2 linked regions of the Caenorhabditis elegans genome follow. The protein of the gene in region 1 interacts with the protein of each later gene in a pairwise test. Each region holds a gene or a part of one and is shown in the gene's direction. Other genes may lie near its edges.

Region 1 (10,120 bases):
CAAAATTTTTTGTTTTTTTTTAATTCTAAATTTAGCAAAAAATCTCTAAATTTGAGAAAGTTATGAATTTTCAAAAACTTACAAAAAGTATGAAAAAATTTTTTTTTGAAATTTTGAGTCCCGCTACGAAATCTTCTGGGTTACTGTAGTTTTTGACATTGGTAGTATTTTTGATTAAAAATTCAAATTTTTGTGATTTTTTAAATTCTAAATTTAGCCAGAAATCTTCAAATTTGAGAAAGTTATGAATTTTTGAAATTTGAAAAAAGTTTTTTTGAAATTTTGAGTCCCACCACGAAATTTTCAGGGGTACTGTAATTTTTGACATTGGTAGTAATTTTATTCAAAAATTTCAGTTTTTGTGCTTATTTTGAATCTACATTTAGCTGAAAAGCTTGAAAATTGAAAAAGTTAGGAATTTTTAAAGTTTGAAAAAAAATTAAAAATTGTTTTTTGATATTTTGAGTCCCGCCACGAAAACTTCACGGTTACTGTAGTTTTTGGCATTGGTAGTATTTTTGATTAAAAATTCAAGTTTTTTTGCTTATTTTACGTTTAAAATTAACTTTAAATCTTTAAAATTGAAAAAGTTATGAATTTTTGAAATTTGCAAAAAATTAAAAAAAAAATGTTTTTTTGAAGTTTTGAGTCCCGCCACGAAATCTTCAGGGTTACTGTAGGTTTTGGCATTGGTAGTATTTTTATTCAAAAATTTAGGTTTTGTGCTTATTCTAAATCTAAATTTAGCTGAAAAAGCATGAAAATTTAAACAATTAAGAAATTTTGAAATAAAAAAAAAATTCCAAAAAAAATTTTTTTTCGAAAAATTTCAAAAATTTATAACTTTCCCAATTTTCAAGATTTTTTGCTTATTTTGAGTTTAAAATGAGCCAAAATCTGTGTATTCTTGGAAAATAAATTAATGACATCCTAAATTTTTCGTGGCGGGACCCCACAGTAATTTTTTTTTGAAAATTTAAAAGTTCTATAACTTTTCTGTTTTTTAAGGTTTCTGACTGATTTTTTGAATTTTACAAAACTTCATACAGAAATCAGTAGAAAATTATTGATTTTTAAGAAAAAAATTTTTTTGAAATTGTTTTTTTCAAAATTTTTTTCCAAAAAAAAAATTAATTAATTTCCAGTTTTTTTTTCCTATTTTTATCGTTATTTTTTCTGTTTCTCCATGCTGTTGACCACCCAAACAAGATCGACCAGTTTTTTTTGTCTTCACATTTTTCTGTTTGTTATCTCTGCGTCTCTGCGCTCTCTCCATCTCTCTCTCTTCTCCACAGGTATGCAGGTCTCGGGGACGGAAGCGTCATCTTTTTTCGTTCTTCTCTTTTTCACTTTTTATATTTTTATGTATTTATATATCATCGATTTTCTCGTGTTTTCCCGGAACGAATTTCTCATTTTATCCAAATTTTTAAGGACAAATCGATATTTTATCGAAAAATGCCTGAAAAATTGCGTTTAAATCAATGGAAAATCTGATTTTAAACCTTAAAATCAAGAAAAATAGCCTAAAACCGCAAATTTAAACCAGAAAAACAATTCCAATTCCCGCCGACCACGCCGCCCGATTAGCAATAGAGCGCGTTTTCTCCAGGCTATTGAAATTAGGTCAGAAATGTGTAAAATCGGCCAAAATCAAATGTTTTTGTGGAAAAATAGAGAAAAATCGATTTTCGCGATGAAAAATATCAAATTTTATCGATTTTCCAAGATTTTCGAAAATTTCAAACTTTTCCTTTAAAAAATTCGGAAAATTTGCTGAAAATCTACTTTCATCAAGAAAAATAGTCTAAAACTCATAATTTCCACAATAAAATTCAAATTCCCGCCAAACAATCCGCCCGTGCCGCCCTTATTAGCGGTAGAGCGCGTTTTCACCGCAGTTATCCGATTTTTAACGAAACATCGATATTTTCTTTTAATTTTCACTGTTGTTTATCATTTTTCACAACATAATAGCTTATAACACCGAAAAATCATTGAAATATTTTGGAAAATTCAAATTCCCGCGCTCCGCCGAGCAAATTGGCTATAGAGCGCGTTTGCAACAATTCCAAATTTTTTCTGTCATTTTATTGAAAAAATGTAGTTTTGCGGCATTTTAAATGTTAAAAGCAGGAAAATCCCCGAATTTAAAAAGTAATTTTAAATTCCCGCCAGCCAACAGTGCGGCGGTGGGGCGCACTTTCAATTTGGTTTTTCAAACGTTGAAAAAAACCCGCCAAAATGGGTGTTATTTTGAAGGACTCGGTGAGCTGAGTATGAATTTGAGCAGAAAATTTTTAAAAACAAATTATTTGAAAAAAAAATTCCGAAAAAAAGTTTGAAAAGAAGTTCAAAAAAAACTTTTTTTTGAATTTTTTTTTCGAAATTTCAAAAATTTTTTCCCAAAAAAAAAAGTTTCTTCTAATTTATTACTCCCTTAAACTGCCTAATTCATCAAAACTACCAAGTTATAATAAGAAAAAAAGAGTCTTGACCCTCATTTTCCTCCGATAATTGGAGTCCTTTTACTATGCCAAGGTCTTTTCTTTTCTGGAGAAGAACAATAAAAATAGAATTTATTTGGAAAATGTTTTGGGAACACTTTTCGTGATGAAAAAAAAAAATTATTTTATGGGAAAAAACGACATTTTGAGCAAAAAATAGCAGGTTTTTTTGGTAATTTTTGAATTTTTTTTTTGAAAATTTGAATTAATTGAGGCCAAAATCCAGGAAAAACAATGAGAAACTTGGAAAAATCGTTTTTTATTCAATTGTCACTCAAAAATTCAAATTCCCGCGGGCCTCCGCGCCGTTTAGCGATAGAGCACATTTTCATTGTCGCTGGTGTGCGGTAGGGCGCGTTTTCCACTAAATGTTTAATTTTCAAGTAAATCTACCGCAATTTGACCGGAAAAATCAGAAAAAAAATTGAAAACTCGTTAAACCGCGTTGAAATTCAAATTCCCGCCGACCAAGTGTGCGGTAGGGCGCGTTTTACGCAAAATTTCAAATTTTCGAGTTATTCAGCCGATATCAGGGTTATTTTGCAGCTTACAGTGAGGGGAATTCGATAAAAACCAGAACAAATTAGAAAAAATCGATAATCGACTTTAAAAAATCGATAAACTCAAGTTCCCACCTCCCCGGTGTGCGGTAGGGCGCGTTTACCGCAAAATTTTGAATTTTCGAGTAAACCAGCCGATATGGGGGTCATTTTGAAGCTCTCAGTAGGGCAAATTCAAAAAAACCTGGAAAAAATCGATATTTGCAAGAAAAATTATCGATTTTTTCAAAAATTTCGATACTTTTTTCACAGTTTTTTTGTTAAAATCCCCTCCTCTATCACCGGCAGACAGTACTAAAACAAATAACATTTCATATTGTTCTGCGTCTCTGCCTTTTCCGCCTTTTTGTCTTATTATGCATAATTGTGTAGCCGGGAGAGCGAGGCGGTGCCTCACCAAAACAGTCAAAAAGTCTGCGTCTCCACGGTTTTCTACACTATTTCTCACCCTCACTTTTCCCGTCAGCGTGTGAATAGAAAATGAGGCACTAGGCACATACGCTCTTCTGGTTGCTATTGGACACCTTCTTCCGACCCGAAAATCCGAAAATTTCGCAACATTTTTTTTTGCGAAATTTTTTATTCTTTTTCCTGAAAAACCTCGAGAAATCCCCCGTAATTTTCCTATAGTGGAAAATTTTATATTTTCTCGTTAAAAAAAATGGATAAGGTGTCCCATGTGCTCCGAAATGGGTGGAACTGGATAAAGCTTAAATTCTTGGCTCTTTGGCACTTTTTATTCCGCCGGAAGAGTGATGAACCCGAGTTTTATGATCCGGAAGGTAATATTTTGTTTTTCCGTGGTGAAAAGTTGGTTTAAATGGCAGAAATCCAGGAAAAAGTGAGGAAATTTGAGGCAAACGCGCTCTAATGAGAAATTGGCGCTGGGCGGCGGGAATTTGAATTTTTTAGCAGAAATTTGAGGGAAAATGGGGTTTAGAGCAGTTTTCATTGATATAAATAAGTTTCCGGTAGAAATTTTGAAAATTTTTTAAATTTTTAACCGAAATTTCGAGTTTTTAAATTTTCGGCATTTTTTCTGTTTTTTTTTATTTTAAGAAGGAAATCATTTATTTTTTATGTAATCCCTATAAAAATTACAGAAAAATTCAGTTTTTGAGCAGATTTTTAATAAAAATATGTAAAAACCCTGTGAAAAATAAAAAGAAAAAAAGTTTGCGCGTAAGATCTGGTGTTTTCAAGATTTTCAGTCATTTTTAAAAGGAAATCTCAATTTTTCTTGCATTTTTCACATGAAAATCAATATATTCAACTGATTTTCACAATTTTTTAGCTTAAAACTGACAATTTTCACTTTAAAATCTACTTAAAACCTGCAAAATCCTGCTTTCTACCGTACCCCTCAACTGTCGTAAAATTCGGTGTTCGCAGAGTACACAACTTTCAGAATGGAGGGTTACGGTGGTTTTTGGTCATTTTTTGATGAATTTTCTGCGGGAAAACCGGTTTTTTGGTGGTTTTTGTTGTTGAGAATCTGAAAATTTGCATAAATTTCCATTTTTAACGCTAAATTTTGCAATTTCCCGGATATTTTCTAGCCAAAAATTGAGAAATTCCCCAATTTTCGTCGATTTCCCCCGGGTTTTCCCCCTAAAACTCGAATTTTCAGCCATGGCATCGAAAAAAGCAAGCGGAACACTGCCGCCGCAACAACAAGTCGTCCATAAAGTGAGTTTTTGCCCTGAAAATTCGAAAAAATTGAATTTTTTCCCAAAAAAACTGAAAAAATCAATAAAATTGCAGGTTATTATGGTCGGAACCGGAGGTGTCGGAAAATCGGCTCTCACTTTGCAGTTCATGTATGATGAGGTGCGGAATTTGGCGAAAAACGAGAAAAGAACAATTTTTTCTGAAAAATTCCGAAAAAAACCTAAAAATCGATGTTTCAAGAAGAAAACACCGGAAATTCCGATTTTTCCGAAGAATCTAGACGAAAATCCCGGAATTTTTGCAAATTTGCATGCAAAGACTCTAAAAACGTCGTTTTTCTCAAATTTTATGTTAAAAATCCGAAGTTTTGCGATGTTCCCGAATTTTATGTCGAAAAATCTCAATTTGTACCTTTTTTAGGCCGAATTTTGTGCATTTTTTGCCAAAAACCCCAAAAAAATTCGAGTTTTGGGTATTTTACGTCAGAAAGCCTGAAAAATTCCATTTTCCCCGAATTTTATGTCAAAAAATCCAAAAATAATCCGATTTTCGAGTTTTTTTCACTCAAAAGCTCTAAAAATGCCAATTTTCCCGAATTTTAAGGCAAAAAAATCCCAATTTTGCAAATTTAATGTAAAAAATTCCGATATTTCCGTTTTCTACTTTAAATCACTGAAAAATTCCAATTTTTTGCGAGTTTTATGTCAAAAAACCCCAAAAAATCTTCATTTTTCCATTTTTCTACCCAAAAACTATGAAAAATTCTGATTTTACCGAATTTTATGTCGAAAAATCACAAAAATTCCACTTTTCACGTTTTTTATGAAAAAAAAATCCAATTTTTGGGAATTTTATGCCAAAAAATTCAAAATTTTGCCTTTTTCATATCCAAAACCCCCGAAAAATTCCAATTTTCCAAAAATTTTATTAAAAAAATACCTATTTTCGCCTTTTTTATGTCGAAAAACCCCCAAAAAATTCCAATTTTCACGAATTTTATGTCAAAAAATCCCAATTTTTTCATTTTTCTACCAAAAATACGTTGAAAAGTTCTGATTTTCCCGAATTTTATGTCAAAAAACCCCAAAAATCACAATTTTCACTCAAAAATTCCAATTTTCTCGGATTTTTTAATCTAAAAACCGAATTTATCCTTTTTTTTTGCAGTTTGTGGAGGAATATGAGCCAACAAAAGCGGATTCGTATCGTAAAAAAGTGGTTTTAGACGGTGAAGAATGCTCAATTGATATTCTTGATACGGCTGGACAAGAAGATTATTCTGCAATTCGGTAAGCACTGGAAATTGGCGAAAAATCGCTGAAAAATCGAAAAAATCACGAAATTTGGATGTTTTTCATCAAATTTTAGAGAAAAATTGCCAAAAATCGGCTTATTTTTCGTTATTTTCAGCAAAAGTCGTCATTTTAAGCCGATTTTTTGGGATTTTCCGGAAAAATCGGAGGTTTTGAGCCGGTTTTTGAACTTTTTTTCCCACCAAAGACTAAATTTTAAGGAATTTTTTGTTTTTTCACGCGAAAAGAGCCAAAAAATCGTAATTTTAACTGATTTTTCCCCAATTTTTTCAATTTTTCAGTGATAATTACTATCGAAGTGGTGAGGGATTTATTTGTGTCTTTTCGATTTTGGATATGGAATCATTTGAGGCTACAAACGAGTTTCGGTAAGTTTTTTCGACATTTTGACTGGAAAAATGAAGAAAAATTGATTTTTTCACCCTAAAACATTGAAATTTTCAGTTTTTTCTCGAAAAATTGGACAAAAATCGATAATTTTTAATGAATTTTCAGTTTTTTTTTTTGGCTGAAATTTGACAAAAAAAGGAGGAATTTCAAGAAAATAGGGCAATTTTCGATAATTTCCACCTAAAAATTCCTAATTTTGACCGATTTTAAGCGAAAAATTTGAAAAATACACCAAATTTCTGCTAATTTTGCCATTTTCGAGCAAAAAAGTAATGAAAAATGCGAATTTTGGTCACTTTTAACTGGAATTTGGTTGAAAATAGCAAAATTTCGACCAAAAAAGTCCTGAAAATGCGAAAAAATTGATTTTTGGTCAGTTTTAACCCGAATTCCATGAAATTTTCAATAAAAATGTAAAAATTTGCTCGTTTTTAGCAAAAAAAGATTCCAAACTGAATAAAACACTTTTTCGTGCTAAAAAATGCCAAAAAAATGTCAGATTTTCGATGAATTTTACTGAAAATATGCAAATTTCTGAAATTTTCTGGCAAAAACTCCAATTTTGGTTCATTTTAACCCTAAATTTACTAAATTTTGACTAAAAACTGTCAATTTTTGCCTATTTTAGACCGAAAAACCCCGATTTCGGGCATTTTTCACCCATATTTCGTAAAATTTTCACTCAAAAATGTCCAAATTTGCCTATTTTCGGTCAAAAAACTCGGATTTTGGCCCATCTTAACCCTAAACTCACGAAATTTTCGCTTAAAAATGTCTAAATTTGCACATTTTTGTCTTTCAAAATTAGTAAAAACTCGAAAAATTGTCAATTTTTACCCAATTTTCATGAAATTTCTCCTCAAAACTTTCAAAATTGCGTATTTTTGTTTAAAAAAACTCGTAATTTGGTCCATTTTAAGCCTAAACTTACAAAATTTCGACTTAAAAATGTCAAATTAAGCCTATCTTAGGCCGAAAAACTTGAAAAATGGTCAATTTTAACGCGAATTTTGTGAAATTTTCACTAAAAACGGCCAAAATTTGCCTATTTTCGGTTGAAAAAACTCTAAATTTCAAGAAAATTTCACTTTTTCACACAAAAATCTCAAAATTCGCCTATTTTAGACCGAAAAACTTTTTAAAAAGGTCGGTTTTAACCCAATTTTCATGAAAACTTTCAAATTTTACGCTCTATAGACCCGAAAACTCGGATTTTAGTCAATTTTCACCCCAAATTTGCCAAATTTTCATTAAAAACTTACAAAATTTGCCTATTTTTGTTCAAAAAACTAGGATTTTGGTCCATTTTCACCCAAATTTCATCAAATTTTCACTAAAAACTTTCAAATTTTGCCTATTTTAGGCCGAAAAACCCCGATTTTGGGCAATTTTCACCCAAATTTCATGAAATTTTCACTCAAAAATGTCAAATTTTGCCTATTTTAAGCCGAAAAACTTGAAAAATGGGAAATTTTAACCCGAATTTTGTGAAATTTTCACTAAAAACGGCCAAAATTTGCCTATTTTAGGCCGAAAAGCTTCGATTTTTAGACAATTTAGGCCCAAAACCCCCGTTATTTCTTGCAGCGAACAAATTCTTCGTGTCAAAAATTCGGATTCATCAGTTCCAATTGTATTGGTTGGAAATAAGGGTGATATGCGTGATCAACGTGTTGTATCAGCTGAATTATGTCGACAACGTGCTGAACAATGGGGATGTCATTATGTTGAGACATCGGCTAAAAGACGTGAAAATGTTGATAAGGTATTGGGAAGAGATTTTAGGCTGAAAATTTGGAAAATTCGGCGAATTTCAGCCGGAAAATTGGAAAAATTGGAGAAAATAGTCAAAATTGGCGGAATTTTGAGCTGAAAAGCGAAAAATTCAAATTTTTGACACAAATGTCTCCAATTTTCAGCAGGAAATAAGTTTTCGGCTGAAAATCTGTGAAATTCAGCGATTTTTGAGCTAAAAAATCCTAAAACTTTGATTTTTTCAGTTAAAAAATCATAAAATTCCACTTTAAAGTTGAAAAATCAAGAAATTCGATTTTTTCCATCTAAACAATCATAAAATTTCAAGTTTTCATCAAAAAATTCATAAAAATTCGATCTTTTCGTGTAAAAAATAACAAAAAAAAACATATTTAATTTTCACATGAAAAATCAAAAAATGGCCTTTTTTTAGTTAAAAAACAATTTTTTTTGCTGATTTTAAGAGCTTTCATGACAAATTCCCTGAAAATTTTAAAAATTTCACTTTCTGAGCCCGGAAAATTCATTTTGAGCTAATAATTGTGCTCATTTTGGAGAATTTCAATTTTTCAGTCAAAAAAATATAAAAAATTTCGATTTTTTCAGTTAAAAACTCAAAAAATTCAATTTTTCAGCTAAAAACCTACTAAAATTTTAATTTTTCCTGTGAAAAAAAAGGTACGGGAGGATTTTAGGCTGAAAATTTGGAAAATTCGGCGAATTTCAGCCGGAAAATTGGAAACATCCAACGTTTTTAGGCTAAAAATCGAGAAAATTGGAGAAAATAGTGGAATTTTGAGTTGAATAGTGAAAAATTCGTCGTTTTTAGATTAAAAATTCGAATTTTTAATGAAAATTTGTGAAAAATTTCAAAATTGTATGGATTTTGTGCAATTTTTAGCCAAAAATAGTCAATTTACTCCGTTTTTTTTTCACTAAAAATTTCCGAAATATGCCATTTTCCAGTTTTTTTTATCTAAAAATCCCCAAAATTTCAATTTTGTAAAGTCAAAAAAATCGATTTTTAGTTTGGAAAATCGCAAAATTTCGTTTTTTTTCAGTTAAAAACTCTAAAATTTCAATTTTTAGTCCAAAAAATTATAAAATTTCAATTTTTTAGTTCAAAAAATCATAAAATTTCAATTTTTAGTCCAAAAAATTTCAATTTTTTAGTCCAAAAATCGTAAAATTTCAATTTTCCGGTGAAAAATTATGAATTTACAATTTTTCCCAGTAAAAACTCTCATTAAAAAAATCGTTTTTTTTTTCAGTTAAAAACTCCTAAAATCCCCAAATTTTTTTGCAGGTATTCTACGATTTGATGCGTGAAATGAAGCGTCGAAAGGGTGGCTCACAGGCTCAAACAGGAATCGACGCGTCGGCGAGCTCCGGCCGTAAAAAGCGATCCGGAATCAAGAAGCATTGCACAATTCTTTAAATTTTCAGTTTTTTTCTCCAATTTTTTTTTGAAATTTCCGTGTGCAATTTGCCTTATTTCCCGCCTCGCCGCCTAAAATTTTAATTTTTTTGCGATTTTATATATTTTTCCTTCTTTTTAATTTTTTAATTTTAAATTTTTATCCCTATCCGCGCCATCCGGGTCATCCAAAACCGCCTACAATTCACATGAAAAATTAATTTTTTTTCCGAAATTTTTTTTATTTTTTTTTTTAAATATTTAGTAAAATGTATATGAGAGAGGAGAGATTCAGAGAAAAGGGGGAACATTTTTTGGAAATAAAAAAAAAATAAATAAATTAAAGTACTGTTGGAGCTGATTTGGATGGGAATTGGTAAGAAAACAAGAGAAAAAAGGGAAAATTACAACAAAAATGGATAAAAAAATCAATAATTCTTTTAGACATGTTATTATCACACACAAAAAATTGAAAATTTTAATTAAAAAATAGAGAGAAATCGAGAA
Region 2 (7,628 bases), on another chromosome or scaffold:
TGAGTTCAGAAAGTTGTGCTCAGAGCGAGCCAACTCCTCGTCGTGCGCTGGAATAAGTTTCGAGACGAGCCCAATCAAATGGCCTGGAGAGGCAGAAAAGACATCAGAGAAGGCGTCGGAACCACCGAGTGTCGTTGCCAGTACGTATCCACAACAGACAAACGGGAATCAGGCTTTTCTAGAACAGGAAGAAGGAGACGGGGAGTGGGTGTGGCCAACTGTGCCACCACTCGGGGAAACCGAAGTTGTCACTCAGACTGGACATCGTCCGGAAAATAACTGGGTTGACGAGACGGCACCTGACTTTTCACATTTAGGTAATAAAGCTGGACATGATAGGTGGGATTGCAGCCACCATCAAGTCTGTAGATTGTTGCACGTCGGTTTCCCTTTCCGATTTCCTGGAGTAAGCCATCCCACCTATGTTGAACCAATTTTATTACTCAATTTAAAATCAATGTTTTCAGACATGGCACCCCCAAAGGAAGACGATATGTGGGCCGATTTCTCCTCGTTCCCAACCATCAGTCCGACTGCAGCTGCAAACTCGGCGTCGTCCAGTAGCTCCGATGCGTGGCCTGGATCAGACATTCATCTTCAAGGGGAAGCGTCGGATTGGCCGTTGAACAACTCGCACGAATCGAAAGCATCCGACCCGGTAATGGTTGGACTTGCTGCGAGTATATCCCATCCTGGAGACAGCAGCGAGGCTTGAAGCCCTTGCAACTCGTGTCATCCCCAATTCGTTTCACATCCCAATTATTTTCTACATTTTTCTGTTTATAGTCTTGTATGCAATTCACTTCGAACTTCCCCCTCATTTTCAACCAGAATTCCAAAATTTTTCTGTGTGTGTGTGTTTCTTGCAAATTTCACTTATTAATTTATCAATCTCGATTTTGCGGTTCTTTCCCATTCTCCATTCGTTGTTCATGTTTCCCCATATTCCCACCGACTTTAAAACCGTTGCATCCGATGCACTTAGAATTTTGTTTCCGAATTTTCCGTGGCTTCTCATCTTTGCTGGTTTCTTCTAAAGAACATTATCTTATCATTTAAAAAAAGTGAGCGCCCCCAGTGATAAGAAGCACGGCTTATTTGTTACTTCTTCTAATACATAATATATGATTCTCGGGCAACTTTTAATTTGGTCCAATCTTTTCCCCCTCTACTCTTTTTCTTGTTTAGGTGGTTATTGAAATTCAATTATTCTGATTTCACCTTCATTGATTGTTTATCTCGTGTTAGTGAGTATCAGATTTTCCATTCCATCCTATTTCACAATTCGTTGCATTCAATAATAACTTCCCACTATTTCTTGTATTTCTTCCTCTTTCATGAGTTTATAAATTCTTTTTAAAAAATTATAGCTTGATTGAAAATTTGGATGTTTTATGATCATTGTTCTAATATCTTAGTTTTGTTTCAAAGATCTTCAGAAAAAAACATAATTTATTTTCAGAAAAGATGTCTTCAAAACGAAAAGTTCTTCTGATGGGCAAAAGTGGATCCGGCAAGACTTCGATGCGTTCGATCATATTTGCCAACTACATCGCCAGGGATTGTTCGCGTCTCGGGCCAACAATCGAAGTTGAGCATGCTCATGTCAAGTAAGGGATCAATTCTGGATCAATTATCAAAAGAACACAATTTTTCCTTTTCCAGGTTCCTCGGAAACATGGTTCTTCACTTGTGGGATTGTGGTGGTCAGGAATCATTCATGGAGAACTTCCTCGTCTCGCAAAAGGATCAGATCTTCAAGAATGTTCAAGTGCTCATATACGTATTCGACGTGGAAAGCCGAGAGTTCGAGAAAGATCTCAGATATTACCAGTCTTGTCTCGAAGCTCTTCTCCAAAATTCACCGAATGCTCAAGTCTTCTGTCTCATTCACAAAATGGATCTGATCGAGGAGGACAAACGTGAAGAGACGTTCAAACGTCGTGAAGCAGATGTACTGCGATACAGTGAACTTGCAGCGACTCCACTTCAGAATGAACGGACGAACGCTGTTTGTCAATGCTTCAAGAGCAGTATTTGGGATGAGACACTCTACAAAGCGTGGTCCGCGATAGTCTATCATCTGGTGCCAAACGTCGGAACCATGGAGGACAAGCTGAAGAAGTTCGGAGCTATTTTGGATGCCGATGAAGTTATTCTATTCGAGAGAGCGACGTTCCTGGTTATTGCGCATGCTGTTCTCCGAGAGCATAAGGATCCACATCGATTCGAGAAGGTTTCAAACATCATAAAGCAATTCAAGCTTTCATGCACGTAAGTTACATCGAAACAGATTAATTCAAGCTTCATCTTCCTTTCAGAAAAATGGGGTCCAAGTTGGATTCGATTCAAGTCCGAAACAGTCAATTCTCCGCATTCATCGACTCGTTCACCCAGAACACTTATGTTATGGTAAAATCTCAAATAAAATGTATTTTAAAACACTATTTTATTTTGTTCAGATCGTGATACCCGACGGCAACGCATCGGCTCCAATGATCACAATGAACGTGAAGAACGCGAGGAAGGTGTTCGAGGCGATCGAGACGAAAAGCTAGACGAATTTGAATATTTCACCGAGTTCTTGCCCCGCATTCCAGTTATTTTCGTTTAGTTACCATCCCATATCCCATGTTGCTGTATTATAATGCTAAACTGATTTATTTAAATCCAACTGCAAAATTGTTCAACTCTATATTTTTCACTATATTTCGTAATTCACCGCTTAGATTTTCCGTTTCGCCAGTGCTTTTGCGAAGTTTTTCGTTTTTTTTGTTTAATTCTCCCCGTACCATCCAAATCCGATTCTTTGCGATAGTCATCATCGAAAAAACCTATCGTTCGTGTTCTTGTTCTGTATTTGTATATGAATTGTGCTATATTTTCATTTGGAATTTAACTGATATTTTCTCGTTTAATTAGTAATTTGTTATCAACAAGTCTGCCTATTTTAATCTATGTTTAAAAAAGTATAAAATTTCAATATAAATTCAGATGGAGGTGGCTGCTGCGGTCGGTGTGATCGCTTCAGTTCCGATCCTTTATAAGGCTATAAGGTAATGTTTTTCTTCTTAATTTGCAAAAAATTAATAATTATACATATTTTCAGACCTCGGATAAAGACATCGGTGGAGTGCTGGTTTTGCCGCAAAAGCACGAAGGTCGAATACCAGCAAAGGAATAGCTTCACCTGCCCGTCATGCGAACAATACAACGGATTCACCGAAGACGGAGACTATAACCGTCGGATTCCTGGACAAGCGTGGACTACACCCAAGAGATATTGTGAGCCGGGGAAAATGCAGTCAGAGAAGCCGAGCACATTTTTGGATCGATTTGGCGGGGTGAACATGAGTCCTAGTGAGTTTAATATCCTTTTTTTATAATTTATGAGTTAAATTAAAATTCCAGAAGCTTCTAACGGTCTCTGCTCGGAATGCAACCTCGGCCAGGAGATCATAATGAACAAGGTCGCAGAATTCGAGCCCATTGATGAGGATCGATGGAACGAAGAGCTCGAGGATTATCGATACAAACTGGAAAGAATGTACCAGCTGTGTCCGAGATGTACAATTCAAGTTCATGGAAAGCTGGAGGAGGATAAGAAGAAATACTCATATCTTCTGAAAGTGAAATATAAGCTGAAACATGCAATTGGATCTACTCTACGAGAAGTGATGAACAATCAGAAACGATCGCGGAGATTCTTCTTCGCCGGTGGAAGTACATGTGAAGCTCTTCATTTTGGATGCCTCATCTCTTCAATTATTCTCTTTTTGGCGAATATCGACTTCTTACAGCAAGATGCAGGAGCATCGCTGATCAATTTGCCAAAGGCTCTTCAAGATATTCTGCCAGAAGTTTATAAATATTCCTTCGTCATCAATTTTCTGATCTTCACTACACATTTGATTGCTGCATTTAATAATAAGTAAGTTTCATTCTACAATACAAAAAAACTGTAATTTTAATTTCAGATGCCGAGTTACTCTTCCCGACCTGCTGCTGCCCATCCTTCTGATCCTCGCAATGCTAACAGTTTTGACTTCAAGTGATGTGAGTTTCAAAATATACCCTTTGCAAGTTTTACACCTCTTTTTTTCAGAATTTATCACAAGATGTCGCTCTTGTCAGAGGTGCATGTGCTTCGTTTTCAACGATCCTTTCAATGGCAGTGACACTTCTTCCAAGGAAAAAGCTGCATAAGAAACGACCGAATAAGATTGTTTCAAGGTTAAATAAATATTTTATTTTTAAAAATTCCTTCAACTTTTTCAATTTTCAGTGCCTTCTCTGTTGCGTCAACTCCGATCTCTCAATGCTCTTCACAAAACAGTCGAAACGCTTCACTTCTCGATCATGACCACACGATTCTTCGAAGATCTCCACATACGCCATCAGCAAGCCCTCCAGCAATGAATTCCTCTCCACCATTGCTCCGTGAAATAACAAATGGTCCAGTGTGGTCTGCAATGAGAAGTCGGGAGAACAAGGAAAATATGCAAAGTTATCAGACTAAACCTAACAATCACGTGGAATCAATGGATTGGGATGATAGTGAATCGATGGCGGCTCAATCGGTTGCTCAATCAACTCGTTCCAGTCATTTCAAGCCAGGACTTTTATCCAGAAATATCAATGAAAGAATGACTGCTCAACAGCTTACACCCTCCGTGGCAAATTTGAATCTTGATACGAGATCTGTCGATTCTCCAAGTATATTCTCAAGACAACACCGGCAAATGGCTCAGCAACAGAATCACACACCGACTAGATCATTGTTCGGGCCACCACGATCTATGGTAGCTTCACAATACGACAGGAGCCACTACATGGCACCGGAAGCACAGTAAGATTTGTTGAAACTGAAATATTTATTAAAACTTAACCCTTTAATCTTGAACAATCAGTTATTTTTTGTTTAGAATGATAATTAGAGAAGCAATAGTGTGATAGCATTTGTGCAGGATAATTGTATATTAGACTTTTAAAAACTTAGAACTGATTGGACGTTGGACTTTGATAAATAATATGTGGAATTTTGGTTAGACCTTTCAAGTCACAGGTCACGTAAGCTCAGATGAAAACTAAAATTAATTTAAAAAGAATTGAAAATTCCGTTATTATTCAATTTAGATTTAAAATTTGAAGATTAGATTTTCGTTTCGAGACCGTGGTTACGGTATTTTGGAGCCAATAATATTTTGCAAGAACCAGCATTTATTGAAAAGATTGACTAAATTCTGTTTGGTTTTTCTACGTTTTTCCTTCTATTAACCTTCAAGATTCCCATCAATTTTATTTATTTACAGCACTCGACCCGGTTCAGTGTTCACATCGGTCTCGCAACAAGACGGACACTCAACGGTCAGCGGCGCGTGGCAGTGTCGCGTCATCGGCATCCTCTTCGCGCTGGTTTTTATCGTACTCATCATGCAGATCGGACTGTTCTACGTTCTTTTCACCCGCAATTGATTCGACCTTATTATATATGTTGTTTTCTATGTTTCATCTCTCTCCTCATCATGCCCTATTCACATTTTTGTTGTTTGATCCTGTGTGATATTAGTTTCAAGTTATTTGGGTTCCCAGTGCTCTTTTACTATTTGATGTGTGTCTAGCTCGTTTTGTTGAATTTATTCTTTCAAATATGCCCCTTTTCACCCTCTCTGATGATCTCACTTCGTTGTTAAATACCTTACTACTTCAATTTCTACTACATGAAACCCATCTACATATACATCTCTCTCCAGTACAAGTCTATTGACAAAATGAATAATTCCCGAGAAAAAAGAACGCGCAAAAGATGAGAAATGGATTGCAACAACATCAACAAACAAGGCAGCTTCCCCATCCCGCCTGCTGCGCACCACACAATTGCTCCACTCCTGCGCTTCTCCCGGATTGCACACTGTCTGGGAGTGGTCGAATCTCTGCGTCTCGCCAATTCACACACTCTTCGTGTCCTCTGTTTGTCCGCCTGACCTCACTTTAGTAGATGTCTCTTTTGAATACCAGTTTTCTATGCCCAAAATTGGGAAAACTTTGAAATTGGCAAATTGTAAGGTTTTTCACAAAACTTAAAAAACACTTCTATATTTACTGCTAATCAAATAAAAAAATCTTAAAAACCACCGGTGGCGTAGTGGTTAATTATTTTGCTGCCGCTCAGACGACGCCAGTTCGACTTTTACCATCTTCTGCCACAATTACGGTTACTCGTATTCATCTTCTCACAATTATCCACACCGTCATTTGTTCCTTTTCTCTTCCGTATCTCATATTTTCCTCCCTTTTCTTCTCATATTTCATTCACTTGTGATCCTCCCTTCCTCTTTTCAATGGACGAGTCTTGCAGCAAAAACCAAAACTCTTATGAATTTTTCATGCCATATCCCTTTTAAATAGCTCAATTCTCGGAAGAAACCGTGTGTATGTACTTATGCTGCTGACTTTGACTTTAAATTTGTACTTTTGAATATGGAATGTATGATGATTTCAGATCAAAACTGTATGTGCACATGCTTCGGTCCGTTGTAAATAATAATGATAAAGCTAAAGGTGAGTTTTCAAATTTTTAATTTTTGTTTTTATTAAACAACAGGAAAAATTTTAAAGGTTGTGTCAAAACTGTCAGGCATTTTGACTTTTCTAGGCCACTGACCATATTAAATGGTTGAGAAAACATATATATATAAAAGTTAGATTGAAAAAGAAAGTTTTAGTGAGTTGCCTAATTTTCCAAAACGTTTTTGTAAATTGCCAAATTTTTGCCGATATTTTGGCAAATTGCCAATATTTCTAGCAGGGATTTGGTAAACTGCCAATTTTCCAAAACAAATTGGCAAATATTTTAAAAGTGAGGACTATTTGGGTAATGTCGAGAATGTCTGCAAATTTGAACCCATTAGAATGATTATATGATAACAATTTATACATGGTAAAATACAAAACTCGTAGAAAAAAAGAAATTTTTTGTTCAACTTCCAAAATTATGATCATTTTTTGACTGTAAATAACAATATTTGAAAAATTTGTTGAAAAGTTTTGCTAAATTATTTTGGGCATCTTAGACGTCTGTCGACACCATGACTATAACTACAACTACTACAACTACAACTATAACTACAACTATAACTATAACTATAACTACTATAACTTACTTATGTTAGACACTATGGACACTATAACCGGTTTTAACAATTTTTCGACTTACGATACTCCTTCCAATTCTCAACTGCGGTCCTGACATTATCTGTTCAAAAAACGAATCATAAACTGGAACTCCACCAATTTCCAACTTTAAAGTTTATCAACAAAAAAACAGTAGCTCAGATCTATATCAAAAATTGCACGCGATGAGTTTCTGCACAACGAGCACGTTTCGTTTACAACATTTCACTCTCCTCATTTTTTATTGACAATCAGTTGAAAGTGAAGTGACAAGAGAGAAAAGAGAACACTCTTTCTGTGTGGGGCAAAAGATAGCAAAAAGCCTATAGATATCAGTGAAAGCAAAGAAAAAAGAAGAAGAAGTTTTCAGAGAGTGAACAAAGTGTCCGTGTGGCGACTGACGACCCAACCTACCAATCATACGCCTTCCAACCGTCGACATCTTCATCTAACAT

The links.
Region 2: the proteins of ral-1 (region 1) and samp-1 interact in a two-hybrid assay, tested with the Caenorhabditis elegans proteins (one large-scale study listed by BioGRID).

What each region holds. Positions count from the first base shown.
Region 1 is NC_003281.10:3,307,869-3,317,988, forward strand, and holds ral-1 (small monomeric GTPase), read left to right. Parts: upstream 1-3,441; 5' UTR 3,442-3,728; coding exon 3,729-3,849; intron 3,850-4,697; coding exon 4,698-4,756; intron 4,757-4,831; coding exon 4,832-4,897; intron 4,898-5,905; coding exon 5,906-6,027; intron 6,028-6,332; coding exon 6,333-6,419; intron 6,420-8,028; coding exon 8,029-8,206; intron 8,207-9,502; coding exon 9,503-9,634; 3' UTR 9,635-9,848; downstream 9,849-10,120.
Region 2 is NC_003280.10:11,299,897-11,307,524, forward strand, and holds samp-1 (Transmembrane protein 201 homolog), read left to right. Parts: upstream 1-2,994; coding exon 2,995-3,056; intron 3,057-3,109; coding exon 3,110-3,360; intron 3,361-3,411; coding exon 3,412-3,931; intron 3,932-3,977; coding exon 3,978-4,056; intron 4,057-4,105; coding exon 4,106-4,233; intron 4,234-4,285; coding exon 4,286-4,849; intron 4,850-5,312; coding exon 5,313-5,475; 3' UTR 5,476-5,790; downstream 5,791-7,628. Other genes in the region: saps-1 (Serine/threonine-protein phosphatase 6 regulatory subunit), read left to right, coding at 1-317, 468-715; raga-1 (GTP-binding protein), read left to right, coding at 1,468-1,610, 1,666-2,274, 2,322-2,412, 2,463-2,558; rsf-1 (Ras association domain-containing protein 1 homolog), read left to right, coding at 6,522-6,561, 7,544-7,628. UniProt on the Caenorhabditis elegans protein: Plays a role in nuclear migration in hypodermal cells.